Linked DNA regions of Arabidopsis thaliana. The protein of the gene in region 4 interacts with the protein of the main gene of each other region in a pairwise test. Each region holds a gene or a part of one and is shown on either strand. Other genes may lie near its edges.

Region 1 (6,464 bases), on a different chromosome or scaffold from region 4:
GAAGGAAAAAAATGGTGGTTCATATGAGATCGGACCAGCAGGCCATAGTGGTTCTGAGCGACGCTAAACTGTGATCCGTCCACTGCTGTAAGCGGGAAGTAGTCGCTGCTCTGTGAAACCAGCCTCACGCATTACCCTCCAACTTTAGAAGCCGTTTGAGCCAAGCCTTCGCTTGACACACACGTCTTACTCACAGCTTGGACTGGGCAGCCCAGAAACATGCCAACAACAGAACCGGCCCGTGGACCCGAACCAGTGTTCCACCATCTAAATGTCCCCACATGGGTTACAAGCTCATGTTACTTAGCTCGACGTAACAAAGATCGGTTCGTGTAATATATAAACAAACACAAAATGAGTACAGTGACCGATGTGGGAGAAAAGACTCTGAATTTAGTTTTGGTTTGTGACTTATCTTTTTGATGTTGGCCAAAGCCTTATTTTGAGTCCCATTGTAGACTAATAAAAAGCCCAGTAGTGAGATAGTATAGACAGATTTGAGATAGAAGAAGAGAGTGGCAAAGAAATCAAATGCAAGAAGAACATGAGTTTAAATTATTCCCAATAAGACTCACTTACTTGAGAACATCAGAGATTGAACATTTATTTACTTTCTGGTAACAACATTCATGTAAAATCCTTGCCAATTTACCAGCATCTACGTAGTGTCACAAAACCTCAACTATAATTTTACGTACTATCTAAAGGTTGTGCTTGGTTTTGACCTCAAACTTTGCTTTAAAGCTCATCTTTTTGCGATTCTTGAACGCGTTGCTTTGCTCATCCCAATAGTTAGGGAACTTCAACCTCGCAACAGCGTGTGGCATAAATCAGTCAGTCATCGTATTCGTAGGTAAAGCTGTTGAAGAATTAAAACGCTTCCGTATGATTAGTAAAAGGCACACTCACTGACTCACATCTTATATCTGAAAGCAATATTTTTTTCCCCCAAAACGATCACAAAGTCTGATGAATGAAACCCTATATTTCAATATTTTTTTGTAGCTACTGCTTTGATGTTCATTGTCCAATGGATTTTCTCCCATTTTCTGGTAAGATTTTGAACTCTTATGCGTTTTAATTTTGATTCCTTACTATCTCTGCAGCATTGGTCGTTTTTGAAGGACTTGTCCTCTTACGTTTTCTAAAAGGATAAAAGAGCATGTCTTCGTTCTCAGTTAGGTTCTTCAACTAGATTTAAGTCATCATATTTGATTCAATTTAGAACTAAACAAGGTTTTTCTGTGATAAAATTCCAAAGTTAACTTCTTTTATTTAGCAATTGGAGTTTGTAATTTTCGTTGAATTTGCCTCAGTTCTGCTACAAAACCTCTATTGGGTCCATTTTGTTTTCGGGTTTTGAAGACTCTTGAGTTTCTGAAATTCTGGTAATCTTGTAAACCTTGAAATGATTTTGGTCAATTTCTTCACTATGTCATGTGTTTATGTGTACAAATGAGCAAGACTTTAATGTTGGTTTGATCAGTAAATGAATTGCTGATGATGATTGTTTAGTATTCAAAAAGTCTAGAACAAGCAAGAGTTATCTTCATTATGATACTAAAGGTATTATTATTACTAGTCCGAAGAAAGGTTCTCTTTTTTTGAATGCCCATTTTGTGCAACTTCTTAAAGATTATTATAGATCAACTGTTTAGTTCAAAGAAGTCTAAAAAAAATCACAATGAAAATTGAAGATGAAGAAAGATTTTCACTTTCTCAACAGAGTAGTATAGCAAATCGTTTTTCATCAAATTCAATTCTTTTGAGTGAAAGATCAATATAGTAATCATAAAGATTCTGTTTTTACAATGCCCATTTCTCTATGACATCGAATGAGACTGAGAGAAATATCAAAGGTTTGACATTAGAACAGTAACACTCATCACTCAGAAACACAAGAAGAAAACGTAGCTGAAAGAACCGCGAGAGGGACAGAGCTAAAAGATGAAGATAGAGAGGAAGATCGATTATGTTCTAAGCTTCATAACTAGTACCATTTCTCCTTGTAAAGAAGCAGAAAACAAACAATGGAGCTGAGAGATGAGGGAGATTCAGGGTTTGGTCGAAAGAACAATGGAGTATAGGTTTGGTTGATTTAGGGATGCCACGTGTACTTCATCAGTTTCTCTCGTCTGTTGGTTTCACCTTTCCAGTCTTCTTTTTTAGTTATTATAATACAATTATCAAAAAAACTACTAGCTTCTTATGAGTCTGAGAATGTGGTTTAGCCTTATGAGTCAGGTTAACTGGAGGAAGTCAAGATACCTGCTGACCTGGGACCAATAAGCAGAACGAAGAAGTGCCAAGTCTAGCTCTAATGATGCACTACCCGGAGCTAATTGAGCAGATGTTGACTACAACACCAAGTTGGCCATGACCTGTTGTTGTAAATCAGAGCTATTTCAACCAGCAAACACCACTTAGGCTTCCCCATAAATATGTGGTTAAAGCTTAATCAACGACAATTGATGCAACTTCAGTCTCAGGGGGTTAATGCTGGACTATCTTCTGACCAATGTCCAAGAGTAGCAGAGCAGTTGAGATGATTTTCGACTTTGGTTTTTACTCTCACAAAACATAATTTTGATATATGTAAATGGATATGCTGATGACTGTTTATTCAAGATCTAGTTCAAGTTTGGAAGAACGAAAAGTTATATTCTAAACAGTTATTGATTAGCAAACTTTTCTTCACAGTTCATTATTTCTCTTGATCGTTGTCCACTTTCGTGTAATACACATTCGTCATGCGCGCGTGAGATATGGTCGATTCAACAACGGTCACGCGCCTTTTTGCGTGTCAGAGACTTTCAGCTTCAACGTTTTTCGTTAAAGAGACTATTCAACGTTAAGCTAATCCCATTATTAAAGAAAAAAAAACCATATGATAAAATAATTAATCAGATTGATTTTGCCAACAATTTAAGTTAAAACCCTGAATTTTAAAAACTAATCACTTTTTGGATTCTCAACGCTTCTGTTTCTCATTTCTTCTCTCTTCAGAGTCCACTCCGAATCTAATCCATTTATGTTTTGTTCTTCGAAGAAATTGACATCTTTCTCTCTTTGTGTCTCCCTCATTAACTTTGTTTTTGTCCAAGGACAACTCTGCCCTAATTTTACGCTCCTGCCGTAATTTCATTCAGCAGCATCTGTCTTAGTCCAAGGACTTGTCTTGTTATGTTTTTTTGAAAGACACAAAGACTTAAACTTTAAGCATCTGTTGATTGTTCGGTTCTTGAAACTCCGATTTAAGTCATTAGATCTGACTTAGCTTAAGACTAATCAAGCTTTTTTAGCTGACATGCCAAAAGCAATAAACAGTAGCAAAAAAAAACTGTTCCTTTTATTCGGTTGGTGCATTGGTTGTTGGTGTTCTTATCAACTTTCTTCTTCTATTAATTAGCTTTTGGTTTGGGTTTTTGTCATTTTTGTTCTAGTTGCCTCTATTCTGAAAACTCTGCAGCAACAATCTCTATCTGGTAATTTATCTTTATTTGTACAAAAGATTAAGATTTTGATTAGCTGGTTAGGTGTTCAAGAGAAAGTTTTGATCTTTTTTTGGGGGGGATGAAGAAAGTGTATAGGAAGCTGATTTGGATCAGAGACCCATTAGCGAGATTGAAGAGACATGTTAGTTCACATTCAGGGTTTAGGTTTTTCAGAGATAGAAAATGGATGTTCCCTTTTTTAGCAAGCTTGGTTTTGTCGGTTACTCTTTTGATGTCTGTCCTTTATGTCCAACTCGAGACTTCTTATGTGGAAGAGCCATTGCCTTTTGATAATCTCTCAGAAGAAACAAATGATTACTTTGTAGAATCACAATTGAGAATGTCTTTGAATTCGACGTTGGATTCGACTTCTTCAGAGGTTCCTAGGTTAGCTTATTTGATCTCGGGGACGAAAGGTGATAGTCTTAGGATGATGAGGACTTTGCAAGCTGTGTATCATCCAAGAAATCAGTATGTTCTGCATTTGGATCTTGAAGCTCCTCCTAAGGAAAGGCTTGAGCTTGCAATGTCTGTGAAGAGTGATCAAACTTTCCGTGAAGTTGAGAACGTTCGTGTTATGTCTCAGTCTAATTTGGTTACTTATAAAGGCCCTACAATGATTGCTTGCACGCTTCAGGCCGTGGCGATTTTGCTTAAAGAAAGCTTGGATTGGGATTGGTTCATCAATCTTAGTGCCTCGGATTATCCTCTTGTGACACAAGATGGTTAGTGATTTTGTTTTGAAGTTGCATGTTTTGGTCTTTGATACTTATTAGTGACGTTTTTTGGTTCTTCCTGATTCTGCAGATATGCTGTATGTGTTTGCGAATTTGTCTCGGAATGTCAATTTCATTGAACATATGAAGCTCACCGGGTGGAAACTGTAAGTAGTAACCGCTAAAGTAGCAACTCATTATCTTGAAATAGTGAATAAGATGTGCTTCTCATGGTCTTTTGCAGGAACCAAAGGGCCAAATCAATCATTGTTGATCCCGGTCTTTACCTATCGAAGAAAACCGAAATTGCTTGGACTACTCAACACCGTTCACTTCCCACATCTTTCACGCTGTTCACAGGTTAGCTAGCATCTTCATTTTGGTAGTTCATACACAGGTCTTATGGTTATGGATGAAAGAAAGATGGTTTATCTGCCTTGTCTTGAATCTTGCAGGCTCGGCGTGGGTAGTTCTGACTCGGTCTTTTCTTGAATACTCAATCTTGGGATGGGACAATTTTCCGAGGACGATCTTGATGTACTACACCAACTTTGTATCCTCTCCAGAAGGATACTTTCACACACTGATATGTAACACTGAAGAGTTCAAGAGCACCGCGATTGGGCATGACCTGCACTACATTGCTTGGGACTATCCTCCAAAGCAACACCCAAACTCTTTATCGATGAAGGATTTCGACAAGATGGTCAAAAGCAAAGCCCCATTTGCTCGAAAGTTCCACAAGAACGATCCTGTATTAGACAAGATCGATAGAGAGCTCTTAGGCCGCACTCATCGGTTTTCCTCAGGAGCTTGGTGCATTGGTAGCTCGGAAAATGGCGCTGATCCGTGCTCTGTCCGCGGGGATGACTCTGCTTTGAAACCAGGCCCTGGTGCTGAGAGATTAAAGGAGCTTCTTCAGACACTTTTATCTGATGAGTTCAGAATAAAACAATGTTCATGACAGGTAATGATCCAAGCTCAAAATGTAAATTCATTGTGTTTTAGTTGTACTCATAGGTCATAGCCTCATAGGTTTCCATATAAAGTTATACAAAACGATCCATGTCACCCAAAATTTTAGATATAAAGCAATTACAGTAGCAAGAATGGTTAGAGAGAGCTTCAAATTAAACTCTCGCTTCAGCTCTGGATTCAATACAAGAAATCGAAAGGGCTCTAACAAAAGGAGTTTGGAGAAAACAATAAGTTACATTTTGAAATCAAGGTCGAAGTAGAGTGTTAAAGAGGATTGGGAAAAGAATCACAATAACAACTACAATAGCGAGGATAGTGGCGATACAAGCCCATTTCCTGTTGTTCCTCTGAAGTACTTTAGCCCCATGCAATTGATCAGTCCCTCTCATGACGAAAGAGCTCGCCTTTGAGACATTTGATTCAATGTCATTGAGCATATTCCCTTGAGCTTCGACAAGAGCAGCCATGTCGAGGAACACTTGGTGCAGCTCTAACAGACTCCGTTCTATCTCCTTGACCGTGTCGTGTCGTTCTTGAATCTCTGATAATGTGTCCATGACCTGTCCGCGACCTTGCTCTTGTATTGCTTTTTGGAGAAAACGTTCGCTCTCTCCGCTCGATATGAGCTTCTCGACCGTCTCTTCGTCCGCTTTTTGCCCCGTTACAGTGAAGTACCTTCAATGATTCAACCAAATACTCAAAACCTTACCATCTCTTACTTCGAAAGATTAAACATTTTTTGAAATAAGATTTGATCTTTGTTCAATCATAGTAAAAGGATTTGGTCTTTGTTGGATCAGAGTAACACCTAAATGAAAGAAAAAGAAATAAAATTTACCTTCTCTCGACCGTTTCTTTGTATTCAGTAGCCATTTTGGTTCGTAGTCTCTGAAAATCATCCATCATGTCTTTAAGCTTCTTCCCCAATCCACTAACGACCGATGTTCTGGTCCGATCAGCAGACGAGCCAGGACCACAACCAGCGACTTTCCTCTGCGCAGCATTTGATTTCTCCAAAGCTACAAGCTTAGTCTTTATCATCTTGACACGTTTCAAGACCTCTGTAACACTCGAATCCATACGAGCACGAAGCTTCTTCACGGCCTTGGAATCATGTACGGTCTTGGACTCTTCATTAGCATCTTGGAGACGCTTATGAATCTCGTCGACAGCTTTCATGTCTTCTTTAACACTCTCGACATATCCAAAGAACTCATCGAGGTTGCCTGAATCAAGAGAAACATTTTGAGACTCGATGTCATCGAGTTGGACCTGG
Region 2 (6,209 bases), on a different chromosome or scaffold from region 4:
TCAAAATCCTCCCATTCTTCTACGCAGTTTGTGGACACCTAAAAGGCTTTAAACTTAAATATATTTATTGGGCCTCAAACGAATACTTCTTTCAGCCCATATCGTTTTAATTAATTCACATTTGGATCTCAAAGGATTTCAGTTTTAAATTTCCACATTACACAAAGAATTCAAAAAAGTCAGTTAATATTTAACATTAATTTCTAAATCTGACCCCATACTTTTAATTCAATCTTTTTCATACCCATCCCTTTCTAAACAAGATATTTAAAGGAAAGATAAGATTAAAAAACAGTAACGGAGACGATTCCTAGATTTTATATATTAACCGTTAAATAACTGACGATTTCGATAACTTTTTCGTTTAATTGATAGTCTCAAAACTTTAGCCGGAGAAGTCTCCGGAGATCTTGAGAGGCCGAGTCATCAATGGAAACGACAACAACCTGGCTTTTCGCTTTCTTCTTCGAGAAAGACGGCAAAGGTAACGAGCTTGGCGCTGGGGAAACAGCGAATATCGAAGATCCGGCATAAATATCATCGGCAGAAACCTCCGGTGAATATTTACGAACTTTGATGTTTGAGAATGAGTCAAAAGACTCTCCTTTTCTCCTAACAATGTTCTTTGTCGTCGTTCTGAACTCATCGGAACCGAATCTTCTCCTTTGATCAGGTTTGAGAGGCGGTTTCCGGTGAAAATGATTCCTCCGGGAGTTAAAAAAAGTCGCCGGAGAATCTCTCATCCGGTCAACCAAACAATTTTGAGGCCTGATAATTTCGGTTCCCATCTCTAAAGATAAAAACAAAAAAATTATAAAAAATGGCGCCGGAGGAATTCCCTTCGGCGGCTAATAAATAAAGAAGAAATCGTGGTGGTAGAAATGAGGGAGGAGGAAGAAGAAAAGGGTCAAATAGTCCTTTTCTTCGATTCCTGCTCGAAATTTTTGTAAATTGGTTAAAATCTACAAATAATCTAATTTATGAGTTTTTTTGCTGGTTAATGGAATACTGGAATAAATAGAAGAAATTAGAAGAGATGACAAAAATGGAGAAAATGGCTTCTCTGTCAGAGCTTCGTTTCCTCGTAACGATGCATCTGTAACCTAAACACATAATTCTATTTTTCTTTTTGTTTAATTTAGTTTGTTTCCCTGTCCGTTTTTCCATTTTTAAATTTGATTTTCCACAAATCTAATTTTTGCTGAATTAATGTAATGTTGCTCTATGGGATTAATCAAACAAGCATTGGACTACATATATTGACATGTTTTAAATGAGAACTGTAAATATGAACTAATTCCAATGACAAATCTTTTTCAAGCTGTGATGATGGAAACAAGTGATTGCTTCCAATGCAAGAAACTATATTGCCGAAATATAGTTTGAGTGTTTTTGGTAGAATTCAAGATTGATGTTGTTTATAGAAGCAAGCACGAGTGGCTTGGGAAGACATTGACCCGTTATTTTCTAGAAAAAGATGTGAGACACTGTTTTCGTCTGCCTTTGTCTCTTCTGGACACGAAAACCATATCAAATCACACAAGGGTGTACCAGACTTTATCGAGTGAGATTGAAGAGATCACGCCCTTGGTTGGCTTGGGATCATCTTTCTTAACTCTTTAAGTATAGATTGTATTTTTGACGTAATTTGAAAGAAGAAATGTGGCAATTTCTTACACTTTTTCTAAAGGGTATTTGTTTCATTAGGTATAATTTCTTCGTGCAAAAATAGAAAACTTTGTCTGTTAGTGTTAGGTTATTATAATGATGAAACACATTCACAAGACTTAAATGTATGGGTGACAACTAGTATGGATTCAGTCATCTCATGGAGCAAGTTCTCAACAGTGCAAACCATTAATCCGAGTTGGAATATGTTTGCTGATGGGATGAGTTTCTTGGTCGGCGAGCATAACAAAGTTGTATTGTGTTACCCTAACCGGACCCCCAACGAAATCTTACACATTGGGGAAGAAATTTATCACATACAACATTTGGATGATCATGATAGAGATTCTACCTCAAGATCATCTTTTCTTCTGAATTATGTTCCAAGTTTAGCTCGAATAAAGATTAGTATGAATCAATATTAGACAAGAAAGTATTCAGACAAGAGTGCGGTTGAGATTACACCGATTAAACACAAAACTGATGCAAAATCTGCAAACTTATTCGAAGAGCCAGAGAAGAAGTAGATCTTGTGGCTACTGCTCTCTCCTCTGAAGCCTCTAACAATCATGGCCTGCATGCACATAAATTACAAACTTCTTCAACAGAGAATTCTTATTTGATTCTCAAATCAATGAGATGATAATAAGTGAAATCTATTTGACCTGTGATATTTGTTCGGCATGACGAAATATATTCTTGAAGATGCGGCGTATGAATGACGCGAAAACTACAAAAAGCGATCACTTGTAAGATGAGATGTATATAGAAAGAGAGAAGAAACTTTTAGATTCTTACTATCAAGTGTCTCCAGAACAGTAAGCTGCTGCCAGTTTACTCTTCGCGATACAATTCCCAGTGAAACACTTCGGACCTACAATGTAACATATGCACAACGTACCATTATGTGGTTTAGGACTTGGAATAACTAGGCTGATTGATAATATTAAAGCGAATAAGTGAACAGTCGTTACCTCATCGAAAACCAAATTAATGAATCTCAGTGAAAGCAGTAGCGTGAGGATAATTTCACTGACTGGAACACCAATATATGTCAATGGGAACAAGAACCAACGTAGAGCTAGTGCAAGTTGCTCTGGTGTTGTTGTTGCAAGGCAAATACTAGCACTTTGGAAGATCTGTGACCAAAAACCAAATGTTCCATTAAGTGATCTAATCAAGAAAGGAAATAGGTAAACCGCGGAAGTCGAAAAACCGACTTACAATAAAGGTTAAGCATGCGGCTGTGCTTCCAACAGACAAACCTTTCCTTGTGAATTGCAAAGGACCAAGCTTCAGTAACATGTACGAATAACCGCTTAAAGACATGGGAAGATTAGGCAAGCTTGTGATTGAAGATGGTGGTGTTCTTGATTGAAGCATTGGAGGTGCACCATCTGAACCTAGCCCCAATGTTATGAAGAGAATACCCGAAAGAAGCGACACTCTCGCCAATTGATCCTTTACAGAAAAAGTTAGGAAACTCAGCAGAGCAGATAGATCACATATAGAAACAGAGTTGTGACAGAGAAACAGAACTCACTATCCAAACTTGTCTTGGGAGAACAAGGATTGACAAAAGAGCTGTGCATAGAACAAGTCCTAAACGCACAACTAGATTTGCTCTTGCTGGAAGAACTACTAGAGTTAATAGCCATACCTACACATATATACAAATACCAAAATTCAAGCTTTAACAAAAAAAAAAAGACTCAAACTTTTTAACAAAATTGGATTAGAAATTTGATAAGAATCAAGAATTCAATATACCAATTTGATTCTGGGATCCACCGAGTGGAGAAATGTCACAGGAGACGATATGAATTGTCCGATGGGACTTCCGGTGGCGCTTGAAATCAATCTGAAGACGTTTTCGGCTCCAAGTCCTGGAATTGGTAACCGGTTCACCCAATTACCGGTTTTACCGTCTCCGTCGACGGTGGCTCTGACAATGAAAACCCTTTTCGCGGCGAGAGAGGAGGAAGGAGTCTCATTAAGCCGGAGCGGGAAGAGAAGCTTAGGGTTTGTAAAGTTCCGGTTAGGAATTGGAGATGTGAGATGACGAATTGGGTGTTTGGGGATTAGGGTTACGGTGAGGGAGACTGTTGGATTGGCAAGATTGGAGTGATTCATGAGTTTTCAATTTCGGATTGGATCAGACATATGCCCTAGAGCGGGAAATTCTGTACTTGGTAGAGAGAGAGATACTGTAAACTGTCAAGTGTTAAACTGTTGTACTTGTTGGTTTTGTCGGACGTTGACTGTGGTTCTCAACTTCTCATAATAACAAAAGTCAAAGTATACCAAAATTTGGATTTCGGTTCTTGTTCGAATTTGATGTATATATAGACTCGTTTTGGATTTTCTCACACTCTTTTTGTATAAATCTTTTCTCGTAGAGTCATAGCCACACCAAAACCAAGATTAAGTAATTTGATACAATACAGCATATGAAAATGTAACTTAGCTTTTAAGATAGATAACATATTACTGCCTAGGAGCATTTTTGACAATTTTTGAGGTGATGGAAAAAGTTGGCTCGAGAGCTTTTTGAATATTCCAGGCGGTTCGGCCTAAGCTGCCCGTTGTTTCCAGTATTATTCCGGTGGTTTTTCCGGCTTTCTCTCCAAAACTTTGGTGCGGTCATCACAAAAATGTGAATATGTGTTACACTCAACTCAATAAATGTATAAAATTGTAAAATTCGATGGTCATGTAAACATGTTATATAACTCATCTAAACAATCCTAACAAATAAAAATGATAACCTATCTCTAAAAATCATTAGCTACCCCTCAAAACTATTTGGTAATTAATTATTAGATTGTATGCACGCTATACAATAATTCTACCAACTTCGATTTTATTTTCTACCGATATAATCATTCTTTTGATTCAAATACCGGTGTGTTACTATAGAAACATAATTCATTCTCAAAATTGAGGATCACAAAGTGAGCTTTTTACCTCTTACTCACAAGTCTAGTAGCAGCCATGGATGTGGCATAATGAGTTTGTATTTCTGCCGCTTCAGCAGCACCAATTATATTATCTATTGACCACATCAAAGTGTTTATCTGTTTTATTTAAATTTTGATCTCAAAAACTTCAAAATAAATGAATATGAGTATAGATTGACAATTAATGGAGCTATTCTATGTAACTTACGAAAAGAATCAAGTGATGCCAAGATAACCTCTCCTGGAGCAGTGGATAACAATGCCTTCCCTAACTTCGACTTAACCACCGGAGCTATCATCGAACTGCTCACCAAATCTCCACCTTCTAAGGCCGCCATTCCTATAGCCTCGCTCACCTTCCACAGCTTCTCCGCTCTATGTATATGTTACATCCAACAAAATAACCAAGATTTGGTTCATTATAAGAAGGAACAAGAACCAAGATTTTATTGTTTGGTATAATATATACTATTTTGTGGGATAGAGATTAAAATATGAATACCTTTGAAGATTTTTGTTGAGTTTATTCTTCTTATTAGTTTCATTGTTGCCACCTCCATCAATTTGTGATATGTCACCACTTCTTTCCTCATCCTCTTCAGCAATCGTTCCTTCCTCGTGAATCTGTTTTTGTTGTAAGAAAATAAAACGATATTAATAATAAAAAATACTACAATATGTGCGTCTTACATCTCCATGTTCATATAAAAGTTTTTAAAAATCCAACACAAAAATAAGATGATCTATACTAGTAAATAAAACACATAAGTCGTTCCACAAGTTGGGTTTGAATTGGAAGTTCATGATTCTTTACTACAACAAATATTTCGATTCAAATCACAATCATCTATTAACACTCATAAGCATCATGAGAGGGACTTATATGTATGAGACCTTCTTAGAGTAAGAATTGCTACAAGTGAAGATTCCCTTGATGATATGCCCTGTTCCTACCGCGATGGCCTTGGCTACACCATTTTTGTAGTCTTCAGCCTTCGGTGCAAACTTTTTCCAATCAATTTCATTGTTGTTCTTACCTGAAGTACTTGAAGATTTCTCCCCCATGATATCTCCAAGAAACTCAGGGTTTTCCATGATTTCTCCGTCTTCCCCTAAGAAACTCAAGGCTAGCTCCAACAGTTCGGATTTATCGACGATTTGGACTCCGTAATCGGGATTCTCCAACAAAACTTCTTCGTTCACCGCTTGGGCAGATTGGTTTTCTTGGGTTGATGTGGACATTGTGTCTTCTTTCTTAGTACAGTAGTACTTTTAAGTTTGGTTTATATGTGAGGCTCGTTCCTATATAATGTTGGATGATCGAAGGTAATGACGTAAACACTTACCATTTGATCATATTAATAACCAACAAAAATGTAAGACCATAAAATATGATCATATAGCTTGGTAGTGAAGAATAAGTAAAATTTTCTAGTTGTATAACTAGCAAGTTGTTTCAACAGAAGATGAGAGAATACCTTTTCTTAATATATGATTTCATCTATAGAAACAACTTCTAAATTTGACCATACGTGTTATGTTTTCCAAGACTTCATCAAGTTGCTTGTTTAACTGGTTTTT
Region 3 (5,466 bases), on a different chromosome or scaffold from region 4:
ATTTCTATAGAGTAACTGAGCTTTCTGGTTTCTTATAGTTTTCAAAAGAAAGGCGCAGCATATTTCCTGCTGGTGACACTTCTCAATTTATATCGTCAAAAGATGCTGACATTGCTATACTTGAAGAACCTGAACATCTCAACTGGTATTATCACGGCAAGCGTTGGACTGATAAATTCAACCATGTTGTTGGAATTGTCCACACAAACTACTTAGAGTACATCAAGAGGGAGAAGAATGGAGCTCTTCAAGCATTTTTTGTGAACCATGTAAACAATTGGGTCACACGAGCGTATTGTGACAAGGTGAATCATCTACTCTATTTCTTCAAGCCTTGTTCTGTTGCTTGAATCCTCTTTACTAATAAATAGTACACGAGCTAATACATATTTTCTACTCATGAAAGGTTCTTCGCCTCTCTGCGGCAACACAAGATTTACCAAAGTCTGTTGTATGCAATGTCCATGGTGTCAATCCCAAGTTCCTTATGATTGGGGAGAAAATTGCTGAAGAGAGATCCCGTGGTGAACAAGCTTTCTCAAAAGGTGCATACTTCTTAGGAAAAATGGTGTGGGCTAAAGGATACAGAGAACTAATAGATCTGATGGCTAAACACAAAAGCGAACTTGGGAGCTTCAATCTAGATGTATATGGGAACGGTGAAGATGCAGTCGAGGTCCAACGTGCAGCAAAGAAACATGACTTGAATCTCAATTTCCTCAAAGGAAGGGACCACGCTGACGATGCTCTTCACAAGTAAGTTCTGAAAAATGTGCTTTGCTTTTAAAAACTTGTTAAGGTTTCGCTCTTTGATTGTCTTTCCCACATCTTGATGAAGGTACAAAGTGTTCATAAACCCCAGCATCAGCGATGTTCTATGCACAGCAACCGCAGAAGCACTAGCCATGGGGAAGTTTGTGGTGTGTGCAGATCACCCTTCAAACGAATTCTTTAGATCATTCCCGAACTGCTTAACTTACAAAACATCCGAAGACTTTGTGTCCAAAGTGCAAGAAGCAATGACGAAAGAGCCACTACCTCTCACTCCTGAACAAATGTACAATCTCTCTTGGGAAGCAGCAACACAGAGGTTCATGGAGTATTCAGATCTCGATAAGATCTTAAACAATGGAGAGGGAGGAAGGAAGATGCGAAAATCAAGATCGGTTCCGAGCTTTAACGAGGTGGTCGATGGAGGATTGGCATTCTCACACTATGTTCTAACAGGGAACGATTTCTTGAGACTATGCACTGGAGCAACACCAAGAACAAAAGACTATGATAATCAACATTGCAAGGATCTGAATCTCGTACCACCTCACGTTCACAAGCCAATCTTCGGCTGGTAGATATTTCCCCATAGGCCACCCAGTTATTGCTTGTGACTTATTAAACCACTACGTTATTGTTATCCTTTTTTACTTTTACAGTTGTTGTAGGTCGTTTGTTTGTTAATAGAAAGGGTAGATTATTATTAGATGTCTTTTTGTAAAATATCAATACGAAGCGTATTTGATGATATATAAAATAACTATATTGGCAAAAATATGAACTATGAAGGCCGTTTTCGTGATTTTGTTCTTTTGTTTCACGAATTCAAGCTATTCCCCTTTTTTTACGCCAAAGATGAAAAGAACCCTCCCTATTAATATCGCTATTGTCTAAAATTTCGAAAACTACTTTAATCACGACTAGACCAAATATATGTCGACCGATACCGATAGAGAAATTAGTGCCCCGTCTAATACTTTCTCTCCAAAATTACAGAATATTTAGAGTAGTTAATCAACGTAACACGACAAGGAAAATGATGGAAAAAGTGGTGGTTTCTGCTTTGGCAACTAGTGTTAGGTCACTTACGTCCTCTTTTTCTGTATTGGAAATTACGTGGATAAATTGAACTTTCTTTCAATCTCTATCAAATTATTAATCCACACATGTATACGCAATATATGATCATTAAATAAATAAAAAGTTAGATTGGTCTATAAATTCGTATCACAAATGGACTAATAATTTGTAGTGAAAACTCATTTACCCATGTGACAGCTCCAAATTTCTGAACTTTTTATTTTGAGGGATGGTACAAATCCGAGTTCCATGATCATGGAAAAATCAAATTTAACAAACACAAATTACTGTTTGAAACAAGCAAGTTACTATATATGTAGTTTGATTTCACACTAGAGAATCTACTGATAATGAATTTTTTATATATCGTGAAGCTGAAAGTGAAATTATAACTAGCTAGTTGAATTGCTTATTATGGTTGGAGGGGAGCCGATGAAAAATTCTTCGACCACACATAAAGTCACCTTTCTAAAGAACACTTGCACCGACCACATCAATCACGCATTCATAAATTTTCAACATTTATATAAATGTAGGAAAAAAACAAAATGAATTATAGAGAATACAAAATGACAGTTAACAATAAATATATCACAACATAAATTTTATGTAAGAAGGTTAGCATGATTTTTAAAAATATATTGTTGTGATTAAATGGAAAATAAAAATGTAGAATACTTGTTTCTTTAAAAGGGTCTTTGTTTTGATTACAATTTTTTTTTTTAAAGAATACCTTTAATATTAGGGAGAATTATTATAGTTTATAATATGAGAATACCTTTATTTCCCTATCACACTCCTATAAATCCTACATATAATTAGCCCATTATTTAGAGCCATCACTAAAACAAAAAATCTCTTAACAACTTCTCCACCTTCTCCCCACCACCACCACTCACCGTCGGAGAAAGAAAAAAAACAACCACCATGAAAGACTGTGAAAACCACGGCCACTCTCGCCGGAAACTAATAAGGCGAATATTTTGGTCAATAATCTTCGTCCTCTTCATCATCTTCCTAACAATCCTCCTCATTTGGGCAATTCTCCAACCATCAAAGCCACGCTTCATCCTCCAAGACGCCACCGTCTACGCCTTCAACGTCTCCGGCAATCCACCGAACCTCCTCACCTCCAACTTCCAAATCACTCTCTCTTCCCGGAACCCTAACAACAAAATCGGCATTTACTACGACCGGCTTGACGTCTACGCTACTTACCGGAGCCAACAAATCACTTTCCCAACATCAATCCCTCCCACGTATCAGGGACACAAAGATGTCGACATCTGGTCGCCGTTTGTTTACGGAACCTCCGTTCCCATCGCTCCTTTTAACGGCGTTAGTCTTGACACCGATAAAGATAACGGTGTCGTTTTGTTGATCATTCGTGCTGATGGTAGAGTGAGGTGGAAGGTTGGGACTTTTATCACCGGGAAGTATCATCTTCATGTGAAGTGTCCAGCATATATAAACTTCGGTAACAAAGCTAACGGAGTTATCGTCGGAGACAACGCCGTTAAGTATACGTTTACCACTAGTTGTAGTGTTAGTGTGTGAAACGGCGACGAAGAAAAATAAGGTAACTAAACGTCTTCGTTAAGTAATCTGTCTTAGTGATGTGAATTGTACATTTTGCTTATACGAATAGCAAATATTACAGATTCGTGATGTTGTAACGAATTTTAAGAATTTCAATATGTATACTTTTTTTTTATTATAGTTGAATTCTAAATTCTATTATAAGTTGTGATGATTTTTTCGAAGTATTTTTTTTGCTGATTTTGATGCATCTTCTGATCCTGTCAAATCGACTTTTGATGACTTTTTCTTATGTATATGGTAAAGTTTGATGGCGATGGAGATTAATTTTTAGTTGAATAGATTAGGCTCGTTAATGTTTTGTGGACGTTGTGTGATGGTGTCATTGTCCATTTGTCTCCATCTTTTTATTAAATTAAATAGAGAGATGCATTTTATATAGAGACTATTCTACAACAAATAAGACATTTCAAAAAGATAAATTTTGTGGATTGGATTATTTTTAGTCACATCTATGGATTTATAGATAAGTTCTATTTGTTGGTGTCTGGCTTAAAAAAATGTTTTTCGTGCACTTTAAAAGCCCATTCTCCTAGAGTTTTGCTACATTGAAATAAAGTTAATACATAACGTTACTTACAAGAATTTAGAATCCGTGGATATTATCGTGGATATTATCGTGGATATTCTTGGATTACCGTGAATATTCTTGGATCTTGAATTGTGAAAATCAGAATCCGGTCTAGAGACTTATTTCTCGTTTATCTGCATTTCCATTCATTTAACTTATAATGTGGTCCATGAAATTGACCAAAGAAATTAAAGGGGAATATGGTCCTTTAAAACTTATTATCTAAGTTGGGAATGAAAATAATATAAGAAACGTTAGACGAAAAAAGTCAGTCACCAATAAGACTTTGGATATCAGTCACATGATATATAGTAGTATATAAGCAACGTTCCATACTTCTATCTCAAATAAAGTTGAGAAACCTAACTTTGGATTTCCTTTGATTTTCAATAAAAATAAAGTGGTTATGAACGTGCTGTGTGTGCTGTTCACACAAAGGCACTAGAACGTCCGAGTAATGCTCAGCCAAACTCACATAATTTTCTGAAAAATGGCCTTTGCTACCTAACTTAAAAATAATTTACAACAACGGAAACTTTAGATAGTTGATCATTGATCAATAGTGCGTGCATCAGTGCATGCATATTTGGAATGAATCAATATTGATTACATATGCAGTGGATCTATCTCAAAATAATACTGATCAACTATTTGTAATATAATTCTTCATTCAAACAAATTAAGTGTTTTAAAAATGTTAATAATTATGATCTCTATCTTAGACATTTTGAGTTTATGTGTTCATGACTATATTTAGTGTAGTTCCATGAAACTAGGGTTTTAGTAGCGTCTTTATGTTCGTCTACTAACGGGCTACACTATTTTATGTTGGGCCGAATTTGGGATAAGCCTTCTACAATTTGGGATATCACTCATCACATTTTACATATTCCTACTTTCTTCCTTAGCATTGAGAAACAAACTTGAAAATAACGCCTACTTAAACCTAGTTTTATGGAGCTGCACACTAAATAAATTGTTTCTTTTTAGTAACAATAGTGGCTAGACGTTTAATTATTAAACCTTTACATTTGAAATGCTTCTCGATTGCTGAAAAAGCTCTGACCACATTCAAAACGTAACGGCACTTCTTTTTCAAAAAATTAAACCGTTGGTTAAGTATAACCGATCTTGGTTATCTATCAATAACAACAACAAAATAGCAAATAATGGTCACAATTAATTTTCCTTGACCAAATCCTTCATTCATTAACCAAATCAGACCAACAAAATCAAATATTCGCGTCGTTTTGAATTCGTTTCCTTAATTAAAAATAAAACGCGTTTCATTAAAAGCAGAATTTATCTCTTTCTCTATCTATATAATCTTCTTATTCTTCTTCACTGAGCCATTTTTATTCTTAGGCTAAACAAATTCGAATTCTGAAACCTCTGTTTTGAATTTCTCTCTGAGGCAATTCGTCGAACAACATGGGGTCCAAACA
Region 4 (7,056 bases):
CAGCAAACAGAAACAACCACGGTGTTTGAAAGGAGCCTTCTCGTCTCATCTGGAGAAACCGCTGAGTGTTGGCCATGGATTGCCATTTCTTGCAAACAAGGTGTGCATTCAATAAGCTGGTCAAAGGAAGCCTCATCAAACACATTTCCAGAATATCATCGGGAAGATAAACGTGCTTGCGGTAATCCTGGCCCGAGTCCGCAAGGTATCTTCTATTATTCTTCTTCCAGAACCTCTCTCTAACCCCATAAGAAAAACAATCTAACCTAATTTCTTCAGTTCCACAAATGGTCATCAATCCCTTACCATCCTCACTAGCACTAGACCATCTCTTATTACTTAAATCCTCCTCAAAATCCTCACCCGTATCAGCAACTCTGCAACCAACACTGATGCTTAAACAATTCACCGCTCCCCTTGCAACCTCTTCATCTTCCACCACCTCAGTTTTATGAATTTTTTTCTTCAACTTCTGGCTAACACTTTTCACAAGCCTCCTCGAAACGGTTAAAACCTCCAGATCCTGCCGTATAGATTCTTCTCCCAACGGTTTCTCAGAAATCATCATCCGTCATCTAACAAACTTCACAAGTCAGACACCTTGATCATGCTAAGAAGACCATCATTTTCCACAGATAATCAACCTGCAAATGCAAATCAATCAAAGCTTCTTCAAGTTGTATACAATCTCATGAGGCTTGCGATGATCAAAAAGCATTATAGTGAGATCCGCTTATTCTACCAACCACTCGATTAAAGATTAAACATGTAAAAAGCCTAACTCCAAAATTCCAACGAAGTAACTCAAAGAAGCCTACAAAATTAAGTTTCACAATCAAACTACAAGACGCGTCTGCAATTTCACACAATGGACGAAATTCAACAAATTCGAAGAACAATTTCACTCACATTGAGCATATCACCCAGAAGTTTCGAAAAGAGATTCATCCATCGACAGAGTTGCTTTCCCAAATCCAGAGCATCTTCCCCAGAAATCACCGAAGAAGATGAAATAATTGAGACCTCGGAGACCTAAGATTGACGCATCGATTTCCCACTTTTCCCTTTTTTATTTTATTTTAAATAGATCATACTGCAGAAAGCGGAAGCTAAAAAAATAAATAAAAAACAAAAAAAAAATAAATGGAAATTAAGCTGACTCAATTATGGGTCAATTGCAAGAATATCGCTTTTTCAATAAAATAGTAAAAAATTAACCTCATATTACTAATTAACATCAGATTTGGGAAGTATAGTGGATCCTATCGGTAACATACAGCTGTTCAAATCTTAACTGTTAACGGTGATAAAAACTTTTTCGGAATACTGCAAAGTTGTAAAAAAATAGTTGTACGAGAAAGCTATATAGTAATAAAGCTGAGAGTAAAACTTTTTGTAACGCTTTAAAAAAGCTTTTGTAATTAACAGAAATAAAAGCGGTACAAATTGTAATACTTTGTTTTTGTTCACCAATCAAAGCCAATATACTTTGTTTTTGTTCACCAATCAAAGCTAGTATCCGTTTTGAGATCATTACTGAAATTATAAAAACTTTAATTTGTTTAATTTATTACAAATAGACAGTGAAAACCTTCATATGTAATAAACGATAAACCTTGGTTTACAATAATAAAAGAAAAAAGAAACTGGAAACTATAATGCTATTGCATGTAGTCTAGAATTTAACTTGTGTTCACAAACATTCTCTTTCAAAGAAGTTTAATTAATAACAGCTCAAGCTTAGAATTCCCATCACAAGATCAAAATCCATGTGTTCAACAATTTTTAACATTATAAGCTACATCCGAATTGTAATCCCTGAATAATCCAACTAATACAGATTATAAGTCATAAAGACACTTTTGTTGGACCAAAAAAAGTTGATTAATGTCATCAACAATCAATCGACCTTGCATTTATAAACGCATGCTGTTATGGCCAATACAGCTCCAATGATAAGTCCTAATATCGCCATTGCCAAGACTGTCGAACCCAATCAAACAACGTATATATCAGTACTCCGCAACATTCTTTCATCATGACCAACCACAGTGAGGAAGAATGACATACCAGCAATGGTGAAGTAGATGAGAACTGCCAATCGGTATCTGGTCGTTCCTGGTAATTCAATTTCGAGTGTGCAATATCGTTGAGACTTTCCCTTAGTTGTTGTATCTTTTAAAGAATTCGAGCCTCCTGGTTGGAGTTCAGATAATGAAACATTCGTGCCTAGTACAGTGTCTCCGTTAACATCTCTGATCTCGAGCTTTATGGTAACCGGATTTGCATTCCAATCTATCGATATTGCTCCAAAATTTTGTTGTCCTGCACGTAAGTTTAAGATATTGTAACCAATGTAATCATACAAAAGAGTACATCGCTGCTCTGTTAAATCAACTCACAACAGTTACAGTCTACTATATTCCGTCCTAGGTTAGTGACAGTAGAGCTATAGAGCTAAAGTTGGAACTTAAAGTAGACTCACTGTGTCTTGGCTTGTCAATAAATCTTTCCACAGTTTATCAGAAGAAAACGTAAAAGGAATCAAATTGAGAATAATACCGTATGTGCAAGATTTGAATTTGCAGTTATCATTGATAACTCTCATCGTGCTTGGAGTATACCAAAAAAGAAGCCTAACTATGGAACGCAAGGGACGAGGGACAACTTTCTCAACAGATTGTACTAGACCACTGGAGGTGACATCATATAATGGGTACCCAACAGAACAATCATATCTCGTGATTTCTCCAAAATGTACATCTCCACTGATGAATATAACTCCATCTCTCTGTAATGTCAAAGCAACGAAGAATTATGGGGACGAGGAAAGAAGAAAACTGACAGTTGGAAACATTACTGTCAACAATCCCATACCTTAGTATCTGCTATCAGTTTAAAAAGACGTTTCCTTTCCTTTGGAAAACGACCCCATGATTCCATATAAAAGAGAGGTCCAGTGGTAGCAGAAAGATTTGATATCACCTGGACAAGTTAAGAGACAACAGTTCTAGATGGAATAAGACACTCAGGCTTCATCAAGTTTAAGTCCATGGCCAAACTGGAACAGGACACAAAAGTCTAATTTGCAGATACCTGAACAGAGGATCCTATGATAGTGATTTCGCTTCGGGGACCGCTCAATTCATTTTCGAGCCAGTCCCACTGCGTATCACCCAATATGCTCCCGTCACTTCTTAAAGGGTCTCTATGATATCTAGTATCTAAAACTATAACCTGAAGGAGATACACAACTGTGTTAAATCACATATAAGCTCTTCATTCTAAACTTAACAAAACTACCAAAGAAGACAAGAGTTTCTGTTAATACCTTAACTTTCCGATTAGGCGGACCATAAGTATAAGAAGCATAAACACCAGCTTGCTTTCTCCTAGGACTATCAAGAGGCTCATTCAAGAAATCAAGCATAAGTTTTTGGTTAATGACTTTACGATCAAACTCTTTTCCAGCGTCATTCAATCCGTAATCATGATCATCCCATGTACCAATAACCTTAGCTTTTCTCTGAATACGAGAATATCCAGGATTAGCTTTGGCTTTAGCGTATCTTAGTTTCATTTCTTCCTCTGAAGAAGGTACAAACCTCGGTGAATTCCTCCATGGCCCAAAAGTTCTCTCTTTCCCAATGACTGTAAGTGGTCTTCTTATATCTCCGTAGATGTTATCACCCAACCAAATAAACAGTTGCGGATCAAACTTGTTTATCGCATCCCATATCGGCTAAAATGTAACAAAAATACAATGTTTAACATAGTATGCAACACAAGCTTATATCATCTAAGAGAACATCGGCTAATTAAACAAAAACCATAATCAGCTCACTTAAACACCAGCCAAACAGAGCAGTCTTAAAACACTGAATCCAGAGCCAAGTAGGGGTTGTACGATTGATTTACCTGTGGAGCACTTTGATTAGCGCATGATCCGAAGGCTATACGAGTGATAGGAGTCTCTTCTGCAGCAATCACCACCGTAAGGAGTAAAGAAAGGCACCAGAAAGAGATTTGGTTCATGACGATGTGGTGAATCGAAGAGAAAACCCTAGAAGCAACCGTGGAAAGAGGAATCTTCAAGTTTTCATTAAAAGATCCACAAGTTTTGGCTCGCCGCAGATTCGGTTCCGGCGATTTTCAGTTACCGTTGGGATTTTGATAGACAGAGACTGTAACTTTTTCTACTTTCTTCTCGTGGCTTTGATTTTTAATAGCTTTACTTTTTCTTTTCTTCAGATGAAATTTCTATTGCCTGGTTTTATGAATCTTTTTTCTGGGTTCCAAACAAAAAGTGAATTTGTGAAATATCCGTATTATTTATAATTATGGAATGACCATTGAATTTTTTTGTAGATTTGTTTAACATATGCAATGATTTTTTAAATATGAATATTAATTACTTGAGAAACAAATATCTACTACATATTAAAAATGAATTTGTATTTTCCCCTTTGAATAGAAATCAAATTCACTATATGTGGCAAATAGATTAATTCATTTTGATTTGTATTACATAATTTAAATTGTTTATCTACTACTATGTGATGATAAATCCATTTAATATGTGTTCTTCTATGAAAACTTTATCCGACCAAAAAAATAATTTTATGAAAATTTTATTCCAATTTTCTAGATTGTATAAAATTTCCCCGGAACCATGCAAATTCAGAATTTTTTACACTAGAGACTTCTACGGATGGCAAAATTGTGAAGTGTAATATTGTTTTAGACATTAAGAAACAAGTTTCGAAGCGGATCGTTTTAGTTAAAAGGTTTACAAACAATATTATCTCTTATTGAATAGAAAAAGTGAATTGGTGCAATAATTATGTATCTGTTTGTAACTGTAATTATAGAAACATCCAATAATGTGAATCAATATCATTGTTCTAGCATAATAAAACTGTAGATTTACAAACGTCAAACGATATGAAATGTTTTACCGACCTCTACCAAAAAATGAGTGATGTGAGAATATACGCGCGTTATCGGTTGTTTCTCACTCACCTAGTGACATTGGTCGAGCGGCAAATGGTGGTGATGACTGGCCTCTTTTACGACTCGCAGTTTTAGATTTTAGTCCCCTTAATTGGGTATTCTCAGTTATGGGGAGACATATAAACACATTTTGTATGTTTTGACAAATTCAGAATATCAAAACAAGACACGTTTATTATGAAGTGTGTTAAATAATACAAATAGATTAGATGAGACACAAATATACAAAGGAATAAGAATCTCTCACAAAAATAATAATTGAATGAATAAAATTTTGAGGAGGGAAGGAAGATGTCCCAATCCCATATATATCATCTCAACGCATCATCAAAACAAACTCGTCAAAGCTGAGAACTCCATCGTCATTCTGATCAAACCCACGAATCATAACCTTACAAGCATCAACCGTACACGACTCGCCGAGTCGACTCAACGTCCTCCGTAAACTCGCCGCCGTAATAAACTCTTCCCCCTCCATAACATACATCCCAAACGCTTCTTTCAACTCCTTCCTCCTTTCTTCATCACTACCATCTTCCCCTTCCATAAGCTTCAAAAACTCCTCAAAATCTATAAACCCGTCTCCGTCAACGTCTGATGTCTTCACCACTTCCTCCACCTCACGTGACGATAACGCGCCGCCTAAGAGACTAACGCAGCTTTGTAGCTCTTCACCGGAGATTTTCCCGTCTGAGTTTGCATCCATATAGTCAAAAACGGTTCTTAGCTCGTTAACGTTTAACGAGCTGCTTCCGCTACTATTACTGCTCGTTCTTGATTCGTCTTCAAGGTTTCTTGACGATTCTGATCTCTTCGAGGAAACTTTCTTGTATAGTCGTGACAATGATGATTTTTGGTTCTTAGCGAGAGTCATTTCTTGATTTGAATATGAATCTAGAAGATTTGGGAAATGGATTTCTGATGCAAATTCTTTTCAAGAAGTGGTAGATTATATATAGATGAGTATGTGAATGCGTGTAATGGTGGAGAGATTCTTGATTGTTCGACGGTTAAAACACGGGTTTGAATATTTTGGTGTTATTATTTAAAGCTAGAGGCGGTTGCGCGGCGGTGGCCGGGAAGTTTCCTCCGCAATGAGTGTTTGTGGGGAAAGGTCAAGTTGACCACGACTAGGGGTGTTTTCGTAATAATGTGATGGTAAGTTTTTCTCACGTATTGTGTGAAATGTGATGTCATATCGACGACTAGATTAAGAAAAGTAGCAAACCTTCTCTTTGACTTTGATTGAGTATACGATGTGCGGACACGTGGTTTTGGTCTTTTAAATTGTTAAACTGTCATGAAGTTTCATATAACCGTCCAGATATGCTCCACGAAAGTGGTATGACTTCCTCTGTTCCTAGAAACTTGAATTAAAAATAAAATATTTCATGTGATGAAGTTTCATCTAACTGTTACATTCCCGGTCCTGAATTCCCTTTCCATAAGAAAATATATTTCTATATGGACCAAAAGAGAGTTTTATTTTTATCTTTTTGCATCTCAAATGCCAACTTCATGTAAAAGCTTTTACTGATGTATAGTTCGGCTTTCTAAGCTCGACGGTTTAACTCGGCCCAGCATATATTGTTCAAACAATTCAGTTATTCTTTGAAACTTCTCCCCGTAATTATCGAGCTCAAAGATTATTTAACAAAAACATCTCTGTTTCCCCCCATAAAATCTCCTTATAAATACTTAATTTGATCCTAATATCAACAAAATGTTAGACTTTAATCTATATCTTCAATTCTTGATGAAATGAATTTCCATGATGCGGTGCTGGCATATCGTGACCTTACTTAATTCACATTAATTAAACTTTCTGAGCAAATAGTTTAAATTGTTGGTATCAAATCTCACAAATAAACTTACTATGAAAAACTCATGATCGCCAAAGTGAAAATAGTATAGAAAGCCTAGTTTAGAGTGACAAACACTTGAAATCCTAAACAATCGATCTTGTAACCACTATTGCACATCACCACAAAACACACATTATCTGACGAAAGCTAATCACATTCAAATGATTAAACCAAAATA

Evidence for each region.
Region 1: the proteins of AT5G42370 (region 4) and AT4G03340 interact in a protein complementation assay, tested with the Arabidopsis thaliana proteins (one large-scale study listed by BioGRID).
Region 2: the proteins of AT5G42370 (region 4) and ABCI12 interact in a protein complementation assay, tested with the Arabidopsis thaliana proteins (one large-scale study listed by BioGRID).
Region 3: the proteins of AT5G42370 (region 4) and NHL1 interact in a protein complementation assay, tested with the Arabidopsis thaliana proteins (one large-scale study listed by BioGRID).

Annotation. Positions count from the first base shown.
Region 1 is NC_003075.7:1,466,575-1,473,038, reverse strand, and holds AT4G03340 (Core-2/I-branching beta-1,6-N-acetylglucosaminyltransferase family protein), read left to right. Parts: upstream 1-2,958; 5' UTR 2,959-3,573; coding exon 3,574-4,219; intron 4,220-4,301; coding exon 4,302-4,377; intron 4,378-4,454; coding exon 4,455-4,570; intron 4,571-4,665; coding exon 4,666-5,174; 3' UTR 5,175-5,312; downstream 5,313-6,464. Other genes in the region: SYP123 (syntaxin of plants 123), read right to left, coding at 5,434-5,863, 6,027-6,464.
Region 2 is NC_003074.8:7,599,920-7,606,128, forward strand, and holds ABCI12 (cobalt ion transmembrane transporter), read right to left. Parts: upstream 3,981-6,209; 5' UTR 3,802-3,980; coding exon 3,439-3,801; intron 3,329-3,438; coding exon 3,212-3,328; intron 3,130-3,211; coding exon 2,893-3,129; intron 2,808-2,892; coding exon 2,643-2,807; intron 2,543-2,642; coding exon 2,467-2,542; intron 2,399-2,466; coding exon 2,334-2,398; intron 2,243-2,333; coding exon 2,090-2,242; 3' UTR 1,903-2,089; downstream 1-1,902. Other genes in the region: AT3G21570 (proline-rich nuclear receptor coactivator), read right to left, coding at 378-788; AT3G21590 (Senescence/dehydration-associated protein-like protein), read right to left, coding at 4,632-4,720, 4,837-5,003, 5,131-5,252, 5,523-5,596, 5,666-5,870.
Region 3 is NC_003074.8:3,676,973-3,682,438, reverse strand, and holds NHL1 (NDR1/HIN1-like 1), read left to right. Parts: upstream 1-2,495; 5' UTR 2,496-2,778; coding exon 2,779-3,408; 3' UTR 3,409-3,844; downstream 3,845-5,466. Other genes in the region: DGD1 (UDP-Glycosyltransferase superfamily protein), read left to right, coding at 39-305, 407-756, 839-1,349; NHL2 (NDR1/HIN1-like 2), read left to right, coding at 5,453-5,466. UniProt on the Arabidopsis thaliana protein: May play a role in plant immunity.
Region 4 is NC_003076.8:16,937,429-16,944,484, forward strand, and holds AT5G42370 (Calcineurin-like metallo-phosphoesterase superfamily protein), read right to left. Parts: upstream 4,307-7,056; 5' UTR 4,036-4,306; coding exon 3,919-4,035; intron 3,743-3,918; coding exon 3,332-3,742; intron 3,238-3,331; coding exon 3,097-3,237; intron 2,986-3,096; coding exon 2,878-2,985; intron 2,792-2,877; coding exon 2,486-2,791; intron 2,326-2,485; coding exon of another isoform or gene 2,267-2,325; coding exon 2,071-2,266; intron 1,984-2,070; coding exon 1,901-1,983; 3' UTR 1,553-1,900; downstream 1-1,552. Other genes in the region: AT5G42360 (Galactose oxidase/kelch repeat superfamily protein), read right to left, coding at 1-568; CML37 (calmodulin like 37), read right to left, coding at 5,330-5,887.